3 linked regions of the Arabidopsis thaliana genome follow. The main gene of each other region encodes a partner of the protein of the gene in region 2 in a complex. Each region holds a gene or a part of one and is shown on either strand. Other genes may lie near its edges. The genes, in order: EMB3144, emb2737 and FTSH12. A codon is read from its position in the direction of its gene.

Region 1 (7,207 bases), 4.0 Mb from region 2:
TTTTTTTACGTCTTTGGAGATTTACATATATTAGGAACAATATACGTAGTATGATTAAGATTTAAGATGGCTAAATTTATTTGGATTAGATTCTGTTCATGGATTTGAAATTTGTCTTCCCTAGACATCATACTCGGAATATTACCGTTTTACTAAGATTTGCAGACATCAACAACCCATTTATTGGGCCAAGCCCGTAGGTTTGTGGCCCACTTGACACCGCTACCGAGAAACATAAAAAGAAGAAGATTAGCGCCAACCTTGTTCTCTCTTTAATCTTCAGCAAGCAAGCATCTAGTTTTCTCGACCGATCCAAAACGATGCCTAAGTTCAGCGGTAAGATATATATGTTTTCTCTGGAAATTGTAATCTCCTTGTCCTTGAAAGCGTTAGATCTGTTGTGATGCAGTTTGGAATTTGATGTGATCGATCTTTCATAGCAAGTTAGTCGATCTAATCAGTTTTGTAATATGGTAAAACCTAGGAGGAGGGCATAGTACAGTCTTCTTTTGGGATGTCGAGGATTGCCCGGTCCCTGATGGTCTCACTGCTGAGGCTGTTTGGCGGAACATGAGAATGGCCCTTGCGAATAATGGTGAGTATCTTGGAAGGTGCGAAATCACCGGTTTTGGTGATTACTCTCTGGCCACGAAACACGCTGGAATCGGGATGATGTGCTCCCCTTTAGGTCAATTACACACACTCTCTCTATCTTTTACATATATATATAGGTATGTATCTTGTTGTTGATCCTGAGTTGATAATATGGTTTCAGGAGACAGACGTACCAGACAGAGCAAGATTTTAGTGGAATTTCTTTGCCGGGCAATCAGATCACCTTCCCAAACAAAATTTGTGCTGATCCTGGGAGACATCTCAGGCCACTCGGGGATAAAGATGCCAGACTTGAGAAGATTATTGTAGACTTTCTTTGCTGCGCAATTGGCAATCCTGAAATAGATAACTTGATGCTCATCGTGGGAGACCTCTCGGGTCACAGTGAGTTCGAATTGGCTGCTCACCTTATGAGATGTCTAAATTTCACTGTTTTCTTAGCACAGCCTCAAAACGCATCACAACAGCTACTTAAAGCTGTACCTACAAAATGGCTTTGGTCAAGCTTATCAGCTGCACGGAACGCTGAGCTAGCGTTGAATGCTAAGCTGCTGAACGGGTCGAGTTTGAAATGATTGTGTTGCTTTTTATGGGTCTCCAACTTCTCTGCGTGCAAAGATCCTTGTAGCCTTCTTCTACTCGGTCTGGCTCTGCCTAAGATCGCATTTGACTCTTTTATTCAAAGGTTTCTGGTTGTTTTTATGTCTTTTCTATCTGGTATGCATAATAACTCGGATCTTTGAGTATTACTTTGCATCTATCTATTTTGCTTTCCCTGTTTTGTTTAAAACTCCTAAGTCGTAACCAATGCTTTCCTCTTAACCATTAACCAATTTGAAAGTTTAGCAAAAAGGTCATAAGTTTTTGATTCTTTTGGAATCATCCTAATTAATAGAGAGAACATGTTGTGAAACTGATGCATGACCAAGCAAAAAACAAAATTACCGAGACAAAAAGTCCCCTTTTCTTTTGCTTTTAACACGGAACCATCCGATTCCACAACCAAAGCATGGAAGAGGTTTTGTCATATGATCCATGTTCAACCTTATCGACGTCTTTTACAATTGTGTACACATCATCTATATCATACATACAGAGCAAATGTCTCTTAGTTGACTAGAGAATGAACCAGAATATATAATGATACATATTGAAAGAGTTTCCTTTATGGATTGAGAAAGAGCTTCACCGGTTCGGTATCTTCATAATTAGCACATTTGAAAGTCAACCGGTGATGTCCGGTTACAATAGAACCGGTAATCTCTTAAAACGGCGCGTTTGAGAAACTGTTAAAAACGCACCGTTTCGATCGTCTTTTTCAATCTTCGTGAAGAACCCACCAGCTTCAAATTTCACCTCTAGAAAGTTTGTTGCTATCGTTTCTCTTTGCACTTAGAAATCGAGGGGAAATTTTTCCCAGCTCTAATCTAATGACTGAACAATGACGTTTTATATCTCGAGCTCGTTAACTCCAACCCATTTCTCGAAACCCTTAAACCCTTCTAATACCCTCTTCCCCAGTCAATTTCGAGGTTCTCTGTCTAGTTTCGTCCGTCGAAGAAAACCAACGGAAGCTAAATTAAGCTCCAAATTCAATCTTTTTCCTTCACGAAGAAATGGTTTGATTACTTGTTGCAGTACATCGAGCTTTGAGTCTACTGAGTCTTCAGTTTCACAGGAAGAAGATGCTGAGTCCAATCGTCTATTTGAGGTTTATCTCTATTTCAAATTATAGCTAGAATTATCCAATTCTAGGGCTTTCGTTTCTAGAATGCAAAGTGAAGAACTTGCAAGCTAATAAGTGATACTCAGTTTCGGACTTTGATCGTATACTTGTGTAGTTTCTGTTGAAGAGGTTATGTTTGCATTCAATACTTGAAACATTTTTTGGTTGTAGCTTAATTGATATACTTATTCCTCATTTTGTTTAATGGAGTTTTCAAAGCTTTAATTCGTTTTATCTTTTGGTTTTTGTAGAAGTTACGAGAAACTGAAAGAGAACGACTTAGCAACATGGAAGAGCTCGAGAGAAAGGCTAATGTACAATTAGAAAGGCAGCTTGTTATGGCATCAGATTGGAGTAGAACATTGTTAACCATGCGTGGCAAGTTAAAAGGAACAGAATGGGATCCTGAAACCTCTCACCGTATCAATTTTAGTGATTTTATGAAGCTCTTAGATTCCAACAGTGTTCAATACATGGAATATTCAAATTACGGACAGACGATATCAGGTGAGAAGTTTCAAAAAGTTTCGATACATTGCATCTAACTGCTTGAAATCTAGACATGGTGTTCTTGAAATCTTTTGCCTAAGTTTTGTTGTTGTTGCAGTGATATTGCCTTATTATAAAGATGGGGAGCCCCTAGGAGAAGAAGAAGATTCGAAAAAGGAGATAATTTTCCGTCGTCACATTGTGGACCGAATGCCAATTGATGGTTGGAATGATGTATGGAAGAAGTTGCATCAGCAGATAGTAAACGTAGAGGTTTTCAATGTAGATGTGGTTCCAGCTGAAGTCTATACTACAGTTGCCACTTTTGTGGTTTGGTCTATGAGACTTGCCCTCTTTGTTTCGCTTTATGTTTGGATCGACAGTATCACGAGGCCAATCTATGCCAAACTAATCCCTTGTGATCTCGGAACCCCTACCAAAAAGATAAGGCAGCCCCTCAAGCGCCAAGCACTCGGTTCCCTAGGCAAGAGTCGGTATGTTTAGAAATGCTCGACTTCCTTTGATATTGACCTCTTCTGCTCAAGTTTGTTGGATCTAAGTTTATGTTTGGTTCTCTCTGTAAGGGCAAAATTTATATCAGCAGAGGAGAAAACTGGTGTTACTTTTGATGATTTTGCGGGTCAGGAGTATATAAAGAGGGAATTACAAGAAATTGTGCGAATTTTAAAGAATGATGAGGAATTTCAGAATAAAGGCATTTATTGTCCGAAAGGTGTTCTGCTTCATGGACCTCCCGGAACGGGGAAAACTTTGTTAGCCAAAGCTATTGCTGGAGAAGCTGGTTTACCTTTCTTCGCGGCAAATGGAACCGACTTTGTTGAGGTGAGTGATTGATTGTGTCAACATGAATAACAGTGCTAAATATCTTGGTTTTTTAAGGTCTTGAGTTAATGGAGTTTTCCTGTTTTTGTTTAAATCTCTCAGATGTTTGTAGGAGTGGCTGCATCTCGTGTTAAAGATCTTTTTGCTAGCTCTCGGTCATATGCGCCATCTATAATCTTCATTGATGAGATTGATGCAATTGGAAGTAAGCGAGGTGGACCCGATATTGGCGGGGTAAGAATGCAATGCTTTCTTGTTCCGGAAATTAGATTTTAGTATAAGAGATTTAACTTTCTTTAGAAATGTGTTACTCACTGAATAGGGAGGAGCAGAGAGAGAACAAGGTTTGCTTCAAATATTGACTGAGATGGATGGATTTAAAGTTACTACATCACAAGTAATGTTTCCCTTTGCTATATAGTTTTTTTTCAATAAACAATACTTGCTAGTAATCATGGATTTTGTCAGGTATTAGTCATAGGTGCAACAAATAGATTAGATATCCTTGATCCTGCTCTATTGAGAAAAGGTCGTTTTGACAAAATCATAAGAGTTGGTTTACCGTCAAAAGATGGTAGATTGGCGATATTAAAGGTAATTAATTTTACTTTTCTGGATATGACGAGTTTTGGTTGGCTTTGTGCTTTAACGAAAAGTTCTGTTTGTAACTAAAGGTACATGCTAGAAATAAATTCTTTCGATCTGAGGATGAGAAGGAGGAGTTGCTGCAAGAAGTAGCTGAGAACACGGAAGATTTTACCGGAGCAGAACTGCAAAACGTTCTGTAATATACAATGCTACAGCTTCAACTATGTATTTAGATGCAGAGGGAAAAAAACAGAAAACACTGATCTTTGGTTAATTGTTTACAGAAATGAAGCTGGAATCTTGACAGCTAGAAAAGATTTGGATTACATTGGAAGAGAAGAACTCCTTGAGGCGCTTAAGCGGGTAACTAGTGTTTGATATCCAGTTTATCCATGCTTAGGTGCTGCTTTAGCAAATTCTGATTCCACTCCTTACAGCAAAAAGGGACATTTGAGACTGGACAAGAAGATAGTACTGAAGTTCCAGAGGAACTGAAGTTGAGATTGGCTTACCGAGAAGCAGCTGTTGCTGTTCTTGCTTGTTATCTCCCAGATCAATATCGTCCAATCAGCGAGGTTTATTAAGAAACTTGAGTGCAGTTTCCTTCATGTGTTATTTTGAATTATAGCATTACTAAGACCATTTTTTGTATCATGTGCTTCTCTCTGCAGACTGACATAAACTCGATTAGAAGCCAACCAAATATGCGTTACTCTGAAACTTCAGGAAGAGTTTTTGCGAGAAAGTCAGATTATGTGAACTCAATAATCCGTGCATGTGCTCGTAAGTTGCAAAGCCAAACTTGTCAACACTTTCTCTTTTTCGTTATAGATCACAAAAATCTCTGTCGCTTACTTCATCCCCTTGTTTGTGTCGTATAGCTAGAGTAGTTGAAGAAGAGATGTTTGGAATAGAAAACCTGTGTTGGATCTCTGCTAAGTCTACTTTAGAAGCTTCACAGCGAGCGGAATTTCTGATTCTTCAGACGGGAATGACTGCTTTTGGAAAAGCTTATTACCGAAACCAAAGAGACCTCGTTCCTAATGTAAGTTTTATATATGTACTTGTTACCTCTTTATTTTTAGCTCTTGAGAATCTCAGAAACACCAATTTCGATTCTCCTTCGTGTATAGCTTGTTCCGAAACTTGAGGCATTACGCGATGAGTACATGAGGTTTGCTGTTGAGAAATGCTCATCAATCTTACAAGAGTATCAATCAGCCCTTGAAGAAATCACAGGTTTAGAATAATATCATATCCTCTCTGCTTCGTCATTGCAATGGCAGATATCACCATACACTCAACAATCTTAAAGAGTGTAATAATATTTTCAGATGTGCTTCTTGAGAAAGGAGAAATCAAAGCCGATGAAATCTGGAACATTTACAACACAGCTCCAAGGATTCCTCAAGTTAGTTATCTTTCTCAATCTTATCTCTCTGTATTGATTTTTTTTCCGGTTTTTCCAGATCCTTTGATTCATGAAAACAGAAACCCGTGAGACCTGTCGATGAGTATGGAGCTTTAATCTATGCGGGAAGATGGGGAATTCACGGTGTATCGCTTCCTGGAAGAGTAACATTTTCACCAGGAAACATTGGTTTTGCAACATTTGGAGCTCCTCGTCCCATGGAGGTATGTAGTAGAAACAAACCACTCATAGATCATAACAAGATTAAACTTTTTTCTTCTCTTATATAATACTCTTGTGCTATGTTTGATGCAGACACAAATCATCAGCGATGACACATGGAAACTAGTGGATGAGATTTGGGATAAAAAGGTTGAAGAAATCAAAGCAGAAGCTGTTATTCAAATTGAAGAAGAAAAGAAGAAACCTCAGATTTTGATGGCAACCCATTTCTTTTAAAATCATTTGTAAGTTTCTCAGATTCACGGTTTTGTTAAACATCAATAACCAGCCAGCAGTGTCCAGAAATGCTAACATGAATTGCTGATTTGTTACTGTTTTTTTTTTGTTTTTCAGTTCAGTTTTGCGGTCTCAAGAACATCAAATGAACAAAGCTCTCCAGGTGAAACTTTAGAGATTATTATGTATCATGTAAAACATAGAGATCTGTAGAAAAGAGTGTTAGTGGAATCACACTAGTTTATTTGCTGAGAAAAATGTCAAATGTGATCATTTTTATAAAATATTTTGTTATTTTTATTTAATTGATGCAAATTTGCTTGGCTGTGTAGGGCATGGGCCAAAACAAAAAAAAGAAAGTAGATACAATCTCATCTCACTTTTTTCAAAATCAGATTGCTTTTTTCATGACCAATTTGGATATCATTATCTATATTAACAATCATAGAAATGTTGAAATACATTTGCAATTTGAACACCTAACCAATGGCGACAATAAAGTCGCAGGTCGATATCGTCAATACTATAATCTTTGCATGTGATATTTTCCTTCTTCTTTTTTTCAGCTTCTACATTTTTTATTTGAGATTCAATCTATACATATCTGCAAGAAACCAAATTAAAAAGCATCTTAATGTCATACATTAGACTGTGCAACCAACGCTTGGAGTGACGCCACTAATGGTGTTATTGAAGTTCCTTTATTACTTAGTGTATAACTTATTTTTTATTCGTGGCAGGTTTGCACATAATTACATAGCCTTAATGCTAACATGTTATTTTCATGACGATCGGATACATACACATAACCGAATATCTTATCCAGTTTTGATAATTATGAACAAAATCTTTTTTCAAAATAAAATAATGATGATGAATATATACAAGGTTACATATATAATGGGATTATGGGACATGCCTCTTCTATTTTATATTAAGAATATTTTGGGGTTTGAGAAATGTGAACAATTACAATAATTGACAGTAGTTATGTCTTCATCGATCCTCGCCTCACCTGCTCTAACTATAAATAATAGGGATGTCTAAAAAGTCACATGCCCTGTACAATAACATCA
Region 2 (6,001 bases):
CCAGGAAAGATATATTTGATAGTCTAAGGTGGTTCTTTAATAAGTAAAGAGAAGTTACAACCAAAACTCCATTTTCAAGAGTGTTTGTGTAAACATCAATACGCTCTAAATATCAATTCATTTTTCTGAGCCCATTGTGTTTAGTTCTAACACTTCACTACTGAATCCATCTCAACCAGTGCAACCTAGTGGGTATTCTATGGGTCGAAGAAACCCACTTGACACATCCAACGAGGGGATTATTGCTCAAATTGGACAAGTTTTACCTTGTAACCGAGTTTTCGCAAGCGTTTCCCCAAAGAAAGTCGCCTGTTCTGCACTTTTTTTTGGATTGTAATCCAACAGTCATTAGCAAACAACGTATTTGCCATTCCAGTAAAAGATCACTAGCTAAATGGGAGGAAGGACAAAATACCACTAGAAAAGAGCGACGAGCTCTTAACATATTTCGTTCATAACCATGTGCTCTAAGAAAAATCCTTCTTAACAGAAAACATTATAACTTGAAATCCGTAACTGCTGCTCAACACTTTGACGAAATCCAACATTGCTCAACAATTTGAGAAAACAAAAAATGCACAATCATCAAAGAAAATACCATAAGATAAAGAAGGCCAATAGCAAAGTGATAATCAAGCTACGTATACAGAAATCCCTAACGCAGAATCAAGTATTACTACCTTGAAAGCGACAAAACCATACCTTCATGAAAAGTGGAGCACAATCGGTACACTTGGGAGGCTTATTTGGGTATGGCTTTGGAGAGGGTGTAGATATGATGGATCCATTAGCAGATAAGATGTACATATCCTCAGGTTGCATCCTCTCCTTTTGAACACCTTCAAACACAACAAGAATCAGTAAACCGTGAAGCAAATAAAATAACACATAGAATCAGCATTGCAAGATTTTCCTTTCCATTCAACATCTTGCATTGTTAAGTCGCTAATGATTCAAATACACAAAGAGAACGCTTCTAAGCATTGAAAGACCAAACCAATTCTCCACAAAAAGAGTGTTACCAGTGATTTTAAATACACAAAGATGATCTCTAGAAACAGAAACTTTAACTGATAAACGCATTACGCATAGCTCATATAGCAAATTAAAGGTCCACGAGAACAAACACATCAACTCAACAGAGCAACGACACATACATCAGTTCAAAGATGCATCAAAATGAGAATCAAGGAGAAAGAAAGTGACTTTAAGATGTAGAGAACCTGAAGGAGACATGACGATAAGTTGCTCCGGTTTAGGAATCGAAGCATCATGAACTTTCATCGTTATGCTACCGCCAGTGCCAGACACCCAACCTTGAGTATAAAAGTGACGGCAGAGTTCAGTAACCAACGAACTCGTCTCCTTCACCTCCTTCCCTTCCAGATACGCCTGTGGCAACCCGATCATCGCCGCTGCAGCCACCGCCATAGATTCTCAGAGATAGAGAAAGAGGTATAGAGATTGAAAGATTAGAGCTTTGTAGGGGAATGAAACGCAGGTTTATCTGGCGAGCTTTCCTTTGGCTGCTTTCAGAATATGATTCCTTTTTACAATTTCCCTTAATTTTTATTTAATCTAAAGGTCCAAAGTTTCGTAAAGTTTGCATTTTTAAGTACAGCATGTTTCTTGCTTTAGAGTTAGAACAAACATAAAAAAAAAAAAAAACTTTCATAGCAAATTTCAATATTTTTTTTCTATACCACGGCGCTTCCTCCGCCGTATCTTCGCCGTCATCGCCGCAAATATAGAAAAGACGCTCGATTTGGGGATTTCTCAAATTAAACTCCTTGTCGTTTTTCTTACAAAGAAACGACACGTAGTCTAATTAGAAGGTACATGTTTGGTAACAAAGAATAAGTCTAATCCAAAACCGAGATAAGAATAGTGTAAAAACCACTCTTGAAACCTCCTCTTCAAAAATACCAGAGAGCGAGAAAAGCTCTTATCTTCTTCATCTTCTCCAATGTCGAGAGGACCAGGTCGTTTAATACAGAACGTGACACAGTTCGCTGATGCTCAATTCAAACAATTCTCTACTCGTTATGGACAACAAGTTATAGACATTCTCGATTTTCCAATCAAGCTCGTCTTGTCTCCTTTCACTCTCGCCTTTGATATCGCTGGCTCTGCACCTCGTGGTTTTGGCATCCCTGAGTTCATCTCCAAAATTTCGTATCTCTCTGTTTTTGTGAGTTGGTTTCTCCTGAAACTTATATGGTTCTGGGTTTAGAACTTGACATGTAGTTGTCTTAAAGGTTGAAACTTTTGTTGGTTTTTGCTGAGTTTCTAGCTTGAAACTATCATTTTCTTTCTGGGTTTTTGGTAGCTGATGTTTCCGGGGAAATTACGCTTCGAATGTTTGCTAAAGTTTTGAGCTTTAATTTGAGTGTGCCTATATTGTGCTGAATTTCTGTCTGAGTTTGTCAACTTGATTTCTAAGTCGAAGTTTTGTAAGATCAAAATCAGTTTAGGAAACTGGAAAATGCATGTTTTACTTGTTCTATATGGAATCTTTTTATCATTGGAGTTCCATTGATTGCAGGCGGTTGCTACGCTTGGAACTTATGACATTGCATTGGATTTGGGAAAGAAAGTCATATGCCAAAGGTCAGCTTCAAGATTTGATGCTTTATTCTGGGTCAGAGAATTTTTGAGAAACCTCAGTTCTCACACTTCCTCGCTATGTTTTTGGTTCTACTGTTTGAGTTCATCCGATGAGATGAAAACATTTTTTGTTGGTCAGGGATTGCAAAACTTGTAATGGGTGGCAGGCATTACGGTGCACTATGTGCAAAGGAACAGGGAGTGTTCATTACCAAATCAAAGATTACAACTTGAGAAGGTGGGATTATCTCTTGTTTAACCCAAGTTATATCGCTTAAACTACTAGGCTTCATGAATAGATCCACTTTATTCTGACGGTCTCTTTGTGTTCTCTGTATATTAATGTCGACAGTTCCATTTGGCAATGCTTAAGCTATCCTAGTGATATTCTAACAGATAAAAGGATTTAAAGATTTATCCTTTCTGTCTTTACTTGTAGTGGAGAGAAACCAACAGCAGATTGTGTCGCAGATGCTATAGTTGAGAATCGAGCTGAGTTAGTTCATCTTCCCTCCTCCTTCAACCATAGTGCTCCATTGCCATCAAAAGACTGCCCAACTTGTGATGGAACGGTAAGCTTTTTAATCTCGCTCTTAATGCTCTAGGCTTCTGTAAATGTATTTGCACTGCTATATTTGATACTGATTTGGTTTATATCTCCAAATTGTCAACTATGCTAATTTCATATCCACGTAAAAAGGTGCTTGTTTGTGTTAAGAGTGATCGCGATAGGCTGTTTTTCATCAGTGTATGCTTAGAAATTTGATGGAACATCTATTGATATTGAAGGGTGCGATGAGCTGTACTGAGTGCAAGAACAAGCTGCAAGTCAGAATCTCAGCTGATGATGTATGTTTTGAGTCTGCTATTACGTCTTCTCAGCTTAACATCTACATAAATCCCCTGTGGGATGTATATATACTAGTTATTAGAAATGAAATGCACATGGAGAGGTAGTTTGGTTTTGAACAAAACTATCACTTGCTAAATACCTTTACTGACGATTCATTTTGCAGATCATGGAACCTCCATGGAAAGCCTATAATGTGCTGAAGAAGATGGATTATCCGTACGAGGTGAGCACCACAAAGTCTATTTATCAACCCAACAGCTTGCTATGTTTACTACATCTTTACCGTCTTATGAGTCATATTTTCTATTTCAGCACATTGTTCACAGCATGAAAGATCCCAGCATTGCAAATTTCTGGTTGATCACTTTGCCTCAGATTGTGGGTGGGTTTGATTATGATGAAGATGTCAAGAAGAAAATATGGTGGCAATATGAGGTTAGTATCTCTTTCTACATATGTAGATCTCCTTCAGCATGAGTTATTTGCCAGGCTTCACTTTTGAGGTTATGGTCTTCTAGAGGCTTAAAGCATGCATACCGTAAAAGGTTTAGTCTACAATTACCTGATAGTTGAATCTTCTTAATCCTCATTTGGGATGGTTTTGCTACACCAACATAGTTTCGATTCCATATCTGGATAGGTTTGTGCTATGGAATTGGAGACATTTGTGGGATACTGATGTACTCAGGGATCTGTATTGCATAGAATTTTCTGTTCAATAGGAACTATTGTTGTTGAATACTTCAGCTTTAAGCATCAATGAGAGTTTAACTATTTATGTCTTCTGTGATCAGGAATCTATGCGATATGATCAACTTCGGGACTTGGTGGCTAAACGCAATCCTGGCTGGGAATATTTGCAGGATGTAAGATCGCCTATTTGTGGTTTTAAAGTTTAGGCAAATCTGGGGAACTACATTGGAATATGTTAGCTGAAGAAGTTTAGCAATCACCATATAGTTGTCATGGTTTTACAGGCCTTGGTCTCCATTGATCCTGTCCGTGCTCGGGAAGACCCCGTCATAGTGAAGAATGTCCCTTATTACAAGGCTAAGAAATCTCTGGAGGCTGAAGTCACGAAACTCAATCCACCTCCCCGTCCTCAGAATTGGGGTGTAAGCTTTCTTCTTCTTTTTGGTTTTAGCATCACAGTTCCTGAGACCACGGGTATAGTTAAGAACTAACTGCTGAACATGTACAGGAACTGAATCTCCCATTGAATATTTCCTCTTGGAGTGAAGAGGATCTCAAAAACCCGGCAAAACTGTACGAGAAGACAGTTCTTCTCAATGCTCAAAGAGAAATCGCAGACAAAATCTTGGATGCACAATGGGAAGCTAAATGGCGTCAAGAGAAGGTTAATCAAGGAACTTTTTTACACAATTCGGTATTCATATCACATTCACGACTCCAATGCATACCGTTTATCTTTTTGATTTGTAGGTGGAGGAAATGTTGGAGCAGAAAGTGAGACCTTACATCCAAGACTCAAGCATGGCTGTTCTTCCACAACCCATCTTGTTAAAGTCACAGAAGAAAGCTCAAAAGGTATCAATTGAATTGGTTACAAGAATAAGCCTACTTGATATCATTCTCTCTTACACACTAAATAAGGTTCCAAATTAGATCATACAAGAAGCTCTTTGCCTGAAAATAGAACCTAAGATCACATGTTGATTTATATGTTTATTACACAGGGAAGCCGGCAAAGGAAGTGGTGGTTCTTCTAACCTGCCAAGTGTGTCGAAACGAATCTATATAAAATGGATTTTGAATTGAGTTTTTTTGTGCTTCTTTGATGAAAATATGCTTTGATATGAATCTTGATGGGTGTCAAATATGATTACACTTCAAAATCAGTTGTAATGTTTTAAAAGAAATGTTGTTTTTGCAGACACTTGGCAGATTCGTTGTGTACCGCCACGTGTATACGATGATCTTTCTTTCATGCTTTGAACTTAGTTTTCGTCTTTCTCCTATCAATCACTCTCTCTATAATTCCTCGTGTCTCACCGTCACATTTCAACAAGTTACGTGTGTCTTTCATGTTATGGTATTACGAAAGATCTTTACCCTTTTTTTAATTAAATATCTATCGACATCATTTTGGATAGAACTTAAACTTAATTGACAAATGGAACTTATCAAATTTTTTTATTTTTTTGGAATTTATCAAATTGGTATTGTTCAATTGAGAAGTATTAGATATATCAAGCTCTTGTTATCAATAGACAATAGTTACTTCAAGGTTTTAGCATTTGGTTTTATCGTTTTTTTAGGAAATCACATGTTGACCTTCACGTACGTGGAGCAGGTAAAAGAATTTAATAAGTGTTTCATTTTATTACAAAGTCGTGTATAAACTCGTATTGTGGTCCGTTCAAATCCTACATTGCAAATTTGCAATTAGTCCTTTACTTGTTTTCATTTTTTGGACTGTTTTATTCTTACACCATAAATGGGAATACGTAGATCGCATTTATTTGGACGTTGAATTATATAAGCATTTGAACTTTAGACCCGCAACGATAAAGATTGAGA
Region 3 (7,828 bases), on a different chromosome or scaffold from region 2:
CCCATTGAGAGTCAACCACAATGACTGTGATAGTTACCTTGCTGTTAGCATCGGGAGCAAACTTGTCAGCAATAACCACATCGGTTGGGAGCAAGAGAGAGACACCTTTGGCCTTTGCTTTCTCCATGAGTGACTTTGCCAAGTCAAGCTTGTCCTCCTCCACAAGGGAAGATCCGACTGAGAGTCCTTGTGCCTTGTAGAAAGTAAAAATCATACCTCCACCGAGCAGGAGGATGTCAACTGTGTTCAAGAGAGACTCAATGACACCAATCTTTGTTGAAACCTTTGAGCCTCCAACAATGGCAGCAAAAGGCTTCTTGGGGTTTGCCACAGCTCCGACAAGGTAATCAAGTTCCTGACACAATAAAACAAGTAATAGTCTGATCAGTAAAATAAAGAGACTCATCTAAGAAGATACTCTTTATGCTGCAAATTTTAAATACCTTCTGCATGAGGAAACCAGCAACTGAAGGCTTCAAGAATTTGGCAACTCCCTCAGTGGAAGCATGAGCTCTGTGAGCAGTTCCGAAGGCATCATTAACGTAAACATCGGCAAGAGCAGCAAGCTTCTTTGCAAATTCAGGATCATTCTTCTCTTCCTCGGCGTAGAACCTCACATTCTCCAAGAGCAAAACACCACCTTCAGGTAGTCCTGCAACCAACTTCTGGACTTCCTCACCAATAGAGTCATTTGCCATTACAACCTATTAACACAAACAGAGTGAGAACAGTGTTCTTTTAAAAGCTAATGTTCAGAAACCTTGCAAGTCTAGAAGAGGAAGAGGAACAAACCTCAACACCAAGAAGTTCAGACAATCTGGGCACAAGAGGCTTTAAGCTGTACTTAGGAGTAACACCTTTTGGGCGGCCCTGAAACATAAATTGAGATCAGATACATCCATTAATTCAACAGCATCATCCAATTGAACTTGAGTATAAACATATCCAAGTAAACTTACTAAAACAATTACCCAAACAACACCAGAAAATCAACCGATAGAGTCAATGAACATATTGAAAAACAAGAATACTATATCTACATCCTAACATGCAAAGAGACTCTTCTTATACGCATGGCTCTCCGGATAAACAGATCAGATCAAAATTCCCACACCAAAATTACAACAGATAAGCAAGTAGTGAAGTGAGAACTGAGATAAGATATCATACCAAGTGACTGCAGAGAACAACCCTAGATCCATTACCCATCAAGTACTTGATGGTGGGAACAGCGGCACGAATCCTGGTGTCATCGGTGATGTTAGAGTTATCATCCAAAGGAACGTTGAGATCAACCCTCACGAACACACTCTTTCCCTTCAGATCCGCTTCCTTCAAAGTTCCAACGCTTCTCTTCGTCGCCATAGTTGATTCTTCGTAAAACAAACTAAAAACACTGCAAACAACAAGATGCACACCGCGAGTTCAGATTGACGGAGAAATCAACCAAATCGGTGAAACAGATCTAGAGAATCTAGCTCAAAACTTAATCGAAGAAAACAATCGGAATCTGAAGAAAGAATATACTTACATGAGTGGTTGAAATGAAATACAAGATGATCGAACGTTACAGAGGCTGGTATAAAGAGTTGGTGAATGGATCTTTCGAGAAGCGAGAGAACAATATCCCTTCCTTATATAAAAGCAGCTTGGACAACACCCCAAGAAATGTCCCTATAATTACCCTTTTTGCCACTGTGTCTCTCCTTGGATTCCACGGTTTAAATATATTATTTTTCGGATAGTGGGCTGATGGACCTTAATGGGCTAGCCCAATTATATAACTAATAGGCTTCGAGCCTCTTTGAGTTTAAGCGTCATCTTTCTCCTTCGAAGTATTAGGACACTCTCAACGACGGATCAGTGTAGATAAACCTCCTTACCGGAGAGAAGCGTAAGTCTTGCCGGAGAGTCGAGTGAGCTGAATGGTTGGTACTCACCATTTTCCTTCAGTAATTTTCTCAGAGAGAGCTCTTTAATCGGGAAAAATCTTCAAATGCGTCTGGTTTTGTTCTCTTTTTAATTTTTTTCTTGTGATTTCATTCATGGAGATTGCAATTTCGTATAAACCGAATCCGCTTATCTCTTCATCGACTCAGTTGTTGAAAAGATCAAAAAGTTTTGGTCTTGTTCGGTTTCCCGCCAAGTATGGACTGGGAGCTACCCGGAAAAAACAGCTCTTTCGAGTCTATGCGTCTGAAAGTAGTAGTGGGTCTTCATCTAATAGCGATGGAGGCTTTTCGTGGGTGAGATTGGCTCAGTCTATTCGCCTTGGTGCCGAGCGGATTGGGGAGAAGATTGGAGAATCTGTGAAGACAGAAATTGGGTTTGACTCGGAAGAAGCAAGTGGGAGAGTGAATGAGTATGTGGCTCGAGTTAAGGATAGTGTGCACAAGGGCCATCACGAGCTGACTCGCTTTAAGAATGAGACAGTGCCTTCGTTTATTGATTGGAACAAGTGGGAGCATTGGAAGGTAAGCTGGTTCAGCTTTTTAACGTAATTATCAAATTTCTGATTCTCAAGTATTGTTAGACTTCTGCTTGTGTTCTAAAACATTGAGGGACAAACGTATGGTATTTATTTATTTTGTTGTTGATTTAACGGAAGCATAAATTTTGGAGGAGACTACAACTACGCTTATTCTAGCGACATATACTAGTGTATTAGGTTGTTTCTTAATGAGGGAAGATGTATTGTATCAGGACATCAGGAATTGGGACGGTAAACGAGTTGCTGCCTTGTTCATATATGCTTTTGCGCTGTTACTTTCTTGTCAAAGAGTTTATGTTGCCATCCAAGCTCCTCGGGTAGAACGAGAGAGAAGAGAGTTAACAGAGTCTTTTATGGAGGCTTTGATCCCCGAGCCATCTCCTGGAAATATAGAAAAGTAGGTGCTTCCTAATCCTCAGTTTCCGATTGTAATTTTCTCTACTGGGACATGGTAAAATATGGTTCATATTCAAACTATGGTATCATCCTTTAACAAGTAAATACTCAGCTAATGAGGCATCTAAAGCGTCAAGAGTGGGAAGACTAAAAGAACTTCTGTTTATTTGATTTTGTAGAATGTCCTGACTTATTCTAGTGTTTCAGGTTCAAGAGAAATATGTGGAGGAAAGCAACACCTAAAGGCTTGAAATTAAAAAGGTTCATTGAAGCGCCTGATGGAACACTTGTCCACGATAGTTCTTATGTTGGAGAAAATGCGTGGGATGACGATCTAGAGACCACAGAGGGATCTCTCAAGAAAATAATTGGTAGAAATGCTAGGATTCAGACAGAGGCAAAGAAGAAACTAAGCCAAGATCTGGGTGTCTCTGGTCAGTATACATTCGTTAGGTGATACTTGTTTAGTAGTGGCATGCTGAAGATATAACAAGAAGTGATTTATTGTGCGAAACCTTTGTTTTTGACGACCTAATCTTATCTCACTAATCAAGTTTCTTTCAGAGCAGCACTTCTAGATCCCTCATCTACTATCATTGGTAACCTGTGCTTTTGACCATCTAATCCTCTATTGCATTCTTCTATGATAGGTGAAATTGGAGACAGTGTAGGTAATTGGCGGGAAAGGCTTGCAACCTGGAAGGAAATGTTAGAACGAGAAAAATTATCAGAACAGTTAAACTCCTCAGCGGCGAAGTATGTGGTTGAATTTGATATGAAAGAGGTAGAGAAAAGTCTTCGCGAAGATGTTATTGGAAGGACATCTGAAACTGAGGGAACTAGAGCTCTCTGGATATCAAAGAGATGGTGGCGATATCGCCCTAAGCTTCCCTATACCTACTTCCTTCAGAAGCTTGATTCTTCTGAGGTACAGCTCTAACCTATACTCTTGTCCGGCTTTGGGATTGTGAGTGGCAAGTGTCATTATATCCAGTTGAATTTTTTAAATGATAACAAGTGATGGTATATTCATTATGAGTTAAAATATGATGAATATATTCCTTTTCCAAAGCAATTAATTTGAAGCTGGACGTGATAGGATGATAGATCTTTTTTTTAGCTTATGTTGGCACGATAATCTGTGTATGTGTTCATAACAGGTTGCAGCTGTTGTTTTCACGGAAGACCTAAAGAGATTGTATGTGACCATGAAAGAAGGTTTCCCTCTAGAATATATTGTAAGTAAAAAAATTATAGTTGCAAGTATTTGGAAATGAATGATGTACATTCACCATGTCATATCCTTTTTATTTCTAGGTTGACATTCCCTTAGATCCTTACTTGTTTGAGACTATTTGCAACGCCGGAGTTGAGGTGGATCTTCTTCAGAAGAGGCAGATCCACTACTTCATGAAAGTTTTCATTGCACTTCTGCCGGGGATACTAATTTTATGGTTTATAAGAGAATCTGCCATGCTTCTCCTTATCACATCCAAGCGCTTTCTCTACAAGAAGTATAATCAGCTGTTTGATATGGCTTATGCAGAAAATTTTATATTGGTAATCATCGTTACTGTATACCATTAACCTCGTTACTTCTTTGTTTAGTTGCCTTCTTCCCACATATTCACACTTCTATTGATGAGTTTTAATTATCATACAGCCGGTTGGAGATGTCAGTGAGACAAAATCAATGTATAAGGAAGTGGTACTAGGCGGTGATGTCTGGGATCTTCTTGATGAGCTAATGATCTACATGGGGAACCCAATGCAATACTATGAAAAAGATGTGGCTTTTGTCAGGGTAAATTACATCTTGACCCAAAAACTAACATGTGGATATTGGTTTATTCCATTTAACTGTCTAAGCTAAGCTCAAACTCTCCTCTGTTTTCATTTTTGAGTCAGGGTGTGCTTCTTTCTGGACCTCCTGGAACTGGAAAAACACTTTTTGCGCGAACACTTGCAAAGGAAAGTGGGCTACCATTTGTGTTTGCATCTGGTGCGGAGTTCACAGACAGTGAAAAAAGTGGTGCTGCAAAGATCAATGAGATGTTTTCAATCGCGAGACGAAATGTAAGGTTCTTAGTTATGTGTTTTAAAGCTCATACGGTATAGTTGTCTTCTACTCACACTATTATTGTGGATCTAATTTTATATACTATCTCCAGGCCCCTGCTTTTGTGTTTGTGGATGAAATAGATGCTATTGCTGGTAGACATGCTAGAAAAGATCCACGGAGAAGAGCAACTTTTGAAGCTTTAATTGCGCAACTCGATGGGGAGTAAGAGAATCTGCACTTGTTTATAAATCTTAGTGATATGTACATGTTTTCATCGGGTTTGTATCAAGGCTTTCATACTTAATATTGTACCACCTGCAGGAAAGAGAAGACAGGTATCGATAGGTTTTCTTTGAGACAAGCTGTGATATTTATCTGTGCTACCAATAGACCTGATGAACTCGACCTTGAGTTTGTCCGTTCTGGCCGTATTGACCGTCGGCTGTATATTGGGTTGCCTGATGCAAAGCAAAGGGTGCAAATATTTGGAGTTCACAGTGCTGGGAAGAACCTTGCAGAAGATATAGACTTTGGGAAGGCAAGTTGTTTTCCTGCTATTTTTCAATCCCAATAACATGTTTGATATAGGTGTTTGCTCATTCATAACAACTATATCCTTTTTCACATCCAGCTTGTTTTTCGAACGGTTGGCTTTTCCGGGGCAGATATCCGGAATCTTGTTAACGAAGCGGCTATAATGTCGGTATGTCATATTCTTATGTGGATCTCAATTTCCCAATTTAGTTATACCATTTCTAGAGGAGCGTTGTTGATCGTAATCCAATTTTACAGGTAAGGAAGGGACGTTCTTACATATATCAACAAGACATTGTTGATGTGTTAGATAAACAATTGCTCGAGGGTATGGGTGTACTTCTTACAGAGGAAGAGCAACAGAAATGTGAACAAAGTGTTCGTACTGACATCCTTTGTACTATTTATCTCAAAACATACTATGCTCCACAGCTAAAAAAGCCCTAACCGTTAAAGCTTATGTAATATTAGGTATCTTACGAAAAGAAGAGACTTCTGGCTGTTCATGAGGCTGGTCATATAGTGTTGGCTCATTTGTTTCCTCGATTTGACTGGCATGCATTTTCGCAGCTCCTTCCTGGTGGCAAGGTCTGTTTCAAATATATATTTTTCAGTTGTAATGATAGTGGTGTTTGAACACTCAACAGTCAACACAGTGTAAGAATGGATTAAATAAACTTTTCTCTTGAATCTTACAGGAAACTGCTGTATCGGTTTTCTATCCACGTGAAGACATGGTAGACCAAGGGTATACCACGTTTGGTTATATGAAAATGCAAATGGTGGTAGCTCATGGTGGACGCTGTGCTGAACGTGTGGTTTTTGGCGATAATGTCACTGATGGAGGAAAAGATGACCTGGAGAAGATAACAAAAGTAAGTACTCTCCCTTTCTCGTTTAACTAATTACTGTGCCTTGCTTTTCAGCTTCTGATTAAACCTTCAACTCGGTAGCTAAAATAACATCTATGTAACTGCATATCTGCAAAGTGCTTGTGTTTTGAGTAATATTAATGTTTAGTCTTCCATTCTAAATTTGACCTGACATTACATTTTCAGATTGCCAGGGAGATGGTGATTAGCCCTCAAAGTGCGAGATTAGGTCTCACTCAACTTGTAAAAAAGATTGGAATGGTGGATTTACCAGATAACCCAGACGGCGAGCTGATAAAATACCGGGTATATCCATTAATCAGAGACTGATACTATCCCATTTTTGCTGATCTTACATATTCTCAGTAGTTCCTCACGTTCTTTTCAACTTGGTGATGTTATATCAGTGGGACCATCCTCATGTAATGCCAGCAGAGATGTCGGTAGAAGTATCCGAGCTATTCACCCGTGAGTTGACAAGGGTAATTTATCTTCGACTCAGCACACCTAATCTGATTTAAACTCTCCCATGTGGAGCTTGAACATATAGATGGTATTTGAATGTTGGTGACAGTATATCGAGGAGACTGAAGAACTTGCGATGAATGCTCTGAGAGCAAACAGGCACATTCTGGACTTAATCACCAGAGAGTTATTAGAAAAATCAAGGATTACTGGATTGGTACACTTTCTGAAACTTCAATGACAATTCATTATGACCTTTTATGTGCTTAGATACTCTCAGTCTGAAGAAATATTGCTTTCATTTTGTAGGAAGTGGAAGAGAAAATGAAGGATCTTTCTCCGTTAATGTTTGAGGATTTTGTGAAGCCATTCCAGATAAACCCTGATGATGTAGTCTATATATTATCTTCTTGTTGATCCTCAATCCTCAGCTCTAGTTCCCATTTTAAGTGTGTGACACTAGTTGTTCTTTCTTTTCAGGAGGAGCTTTTACCTCACAAGGATCGAGTGAGCTATCAGCCAGTTGATTTACGTGCTGCGCCACTCCACAGAAGCTAGAAGCTTTACTCTTATCCTGTCACACCACAGGATTGTTCCCAACTTCTTCAATAGTGAAAACCAAAAAGGTTTGATCAATCTAAAAAAATCATCTTAAAAGAGCTTTTGCCCCCCATCATTGGTTTAGGTATAGAATATCCGCAGTTATGTTCCTGGCCCAGCCGGATTTTGTACTGTGTCTGTCTGTATTTGATGATATATATCTGCAGTTGAACATTTTCAGAGAAACCATATGATATGCTCACATAAGAAAACCTTTCCTGTTATTTGCCTGGTCAAGAATTCTTCATCTTTGCAAACACAGTGCATAGCTATAAAAGGGATGCATGTGTATTCAACAGATACATGTGACAAAACAATTTCAACCAACTGGAATAAACTTTTCAACTTTTTTTTGTTTGTTTTTGTTAAAGAACAAAAAAAGGAAAGGAGAAGGATCAAGAAATATCT

Evidence for each region.
Region 1: the proteins of emb2737 (region 2) and EMB3144 are in contact, whole or in part, in a cryo-EM structure (PDB 8XKV), measured with the Arabidopsis thaliana proteins. Residues at the interface, in NP_001032071.1 of Arabidopsis thaliana: Pro63, Glu64, Ser67, Ser70, Tyr71, Ser73, Val74, Val77, Ala78, Leu80, Gly81, Asp84, Ile85, Asp88, Lys92, Cys102, Asn103, Trp105, Gln106, Ala107, Leu108, Arg109, Lys114, Gly115, Thr116, Gly117, Gly173, Thr174, Gly175, Ala176; in NP_201263.2 of Arabidopsis thaliana: Asn149 (codon at 2,767), Phe150 (codon at 2,770), Ser151 (codon at 2,773), Met154 (codon at 2,782), Tyr170 (codon at 2,830), Gly171 (codon at 2,833), Gln172 (codon at 2,836), Arg206 (codon at 3,038), Met207 (codon at 3,041), Pro208 (codon at 3,044), Ile209 (codon at 3,047), Asp210 (codon at 3,050), Gly211 (codon at 3,053), Asn213 (codon at 3,059), Asp214 (codon at 3,062), Asp232 (codon at 3,116), Val233 (codon at 3,119), Val234 (codon at 3,122), Glu237 (codon at 3,131), Thr240 (codon at 3,140), Thr241 (codon at 3,143), Thr244 (codon at 3,152), Phe245 (codon at 3,155), Trp248 (codon at 3,164), Leu252 (codon at 3,176), Phe255 (codon at 3,185), Val256 (codon at 3,188), Tyr259 (codon at 3,197), Asp263 (codon at 3,209), Thr266 (codon at 3,218).
Region 3: the proteins of emb2737 (region 2) and FTSH12 are in contact, whole or in part, in a cryo-EM structure (PDB 8XKU), measured with the Arabidopsis thaliana proteins. Residues at the interface, in NP_001032071.1 of Arabidopsis thaliana: Thr82, Ile85, Ala86, Leu89, Lys92, Ser160, Ala161, Pro162, Leu163, Pro164, Ser165, Lys166, Ile195, Met196, Glu197, Pro198, Pro199, Ala202, Val205, Leu206, Met209, Tyr211, Pro212, His215, Ser224, Ile225, Phe228, Thr232, Leu233, Ile236; in NP_565212.1 of Arabidopsis thaliana: Lys126 (codon at 2,421), Asn127 (codon at 2,424), Pro131 (codon at 2,436), Ile134 (codon at 2,445), Asn137 (codon at 2,454), Lys138 (codon at 2,457), Trp139 (codon at 2,460), Trp142 (codon at 2,469), Leu156 (codon at 2,740), Ala160 (codon at 2,752), Phe161 (codon at 2,755), Leu163 (codon at 2,761), Leu164 (codon at 2,764), Cys167 (codon at 2,773), Gln168 (codon at 2,776), Tyr171 (codon at 2,785), Met323 (codon at 3,663), Glu327 (codon at 3,675), Leu330 (codon at 3,684), Val334 (codon at 3,696), Ile335 (codon at 3,699), Glu381 (codon at 4,069), Asp382 (codon at 4,072), Leu383 (codon at 4,075), Leu404 (codon at 4,217), Pro406 (codon at 4,223), Tyr407 (codon at 4,226), Phe409 (codon at 4,232), Glu410 (codon at 4,235), Cys413 (codon at 4,244).

Annotation. Positions count from the first base shown.
Region 1 is NC_003076.8:25,816,315-25,823,521, reverse strand, and holds EMB3144 (AAA-type ATPase family protein), read left to right. Parts: upstream 1-1,954; 5' UTR 1,955-2,056; coding exon 2,057-2,326; intron 2,327-2,592; coding exon 2,593-2,848; intron 2,849-2,948; coding exon 2,949-3,324; intron 3,325-3,414; coding exon 3,415-3,673; intron 3,674-3,775; coding exon 3,776-3,907; intron 3,908-3,995; coding exon 3,996-4,070; intron 4,071-4,141; coding exon 4,142-4,267; intron 4,268-4,347; coding exon 4,348-4,457; intron 4,458-4,545; coding exon 4,546-4,624; intron 4,625-4,698; coding exon 4,699-4,836; intron 4,837-4,932; coding exon 4,933-5,044; intron 5,045-5,142; coding exon 5,143-5,306; intron 5,307-5,394; coding exon 5,395-5,500; intron 5,501-5,595; coding exon 5,596-5,672; intron 5,673-5,752; coding exon 5,753-5,896; intron 5,897-5,987; coding exon 5,988-6,131; 3' UTR 6,132-6,139; intron 6,140-6,248; 3' UTR 6,249-6,604; downstream 6,605-7,207. Other genes in the region: AT5G64590 (NYN domain protein), read left to right, coding at 321-336, 485-731, 776-999, 1,057-1,190. UniProt on the Arabidopsis thaliana protein: Functions in chloroplast biogenesis and chloroplast division. Required for plastid development during embryogenesis. Might be involved in chaperone functions or play a structural role in the thylakoid FtsH complex.
Region 2 is NC_003076.8:21,863,387-21,869,387, forward strand, and holds emb2737 (embryo defective 2737), read left to right. Parts: upstream 1-1,881; 5' UTR 1,882-1,966; coding exon 1,967-2,191; coding exon of another isoform or gene 2,192-2,220; intron 2,221-2,545; coding exon 2,546-2,610; coding exon of another isoform or gene 2,611-2,641; intron 2,642-2,746; coding exon 2,747-2,845; intron 2,846-3,046; coding exon 3,047-3,179; intron 3,180-3,396; coding exon 3,397-3,456; intron 3,457-3,623; coding exon 3,624-3,683; intron 3,684-3,772; coding exon 3,773-3,895; intron 3,896-4,029; coding exon 4,030-4,140; intron 4,141-4,254; coding exon 4,255-4,326; intron 4,327-4,437; coding exon 4,438-4,575; intron 4,576-4,661; coding exon 4,662-4,817; intron 4,818-4,903; coding exon 4,904-5,008; intron 5,009-5,157; coding exon 5,158-5,190; 3' UTR 5,191-5,456; downstream 5,457-6,001. Other genes in the region: AT5G53850 (haloacid dehalogenase-like hydrolase family protein), read right to left, coding at 267-314, 703-839, 1,224-1,431.
Region 3 is NC_003070.9:29,924,931-29,932,758, forward strand, and holds FTSH12 (FTSH protease 12), read left to right. Parts: upstream 1-1,828; 5' UTR 1,829-2,045; coding exon 2,046-2,474; intron 2,475-2,703; coding exon 2,704-2,888; intron 2,889-3,094; coding exon 3,095-3,321; intron 3,322-3,517; exon of another isoform or gene 3,518-3,537; coding exon 3,538-3,815; intron 3,816-4,047; coding exon 4,048-4,125; intron 4,126-4,204; coding exon 4,205-4,447; intron 4,448-4,550; coding exon 4,551-4,691; intron 4,692-4,795; coding exon 4,796-4,963; intron 4,964-5,058; coding exon 5,059-5,171; intron 5,172-5,270; coding exon 5,271-5,487; intron 5,488-5,580; coding exon 5,581-5,652; intron 5,653-5,741; coding exon 5,742-5,861; intron 5,862-5,954; coding exon 5,955-6,071; intron 6,072-6,181; coding exon 6,182-6,358; intron 6,359-6,541; coding exon 6,542-6,661; intron 6,662-6,762; coding exon 6,763-6,837; intron 6,838-6,929; coding exon 6,930-7,037; coding exon of another isoform or gene 7,038-7,061; exon of another isoform or gene 7,062-7,096; intron 7,097-7,129; coding exon 7,130-7,210; and 5 more. Other genes in the region: PGK (phosphoglycerate kinase), read right to left, coding at 38-355, 444-704, 793-870, 1,171-1,365. UniProt on the Arabidopsis thaliana protein: Probable ATP-dependent zinc metallopeptidase.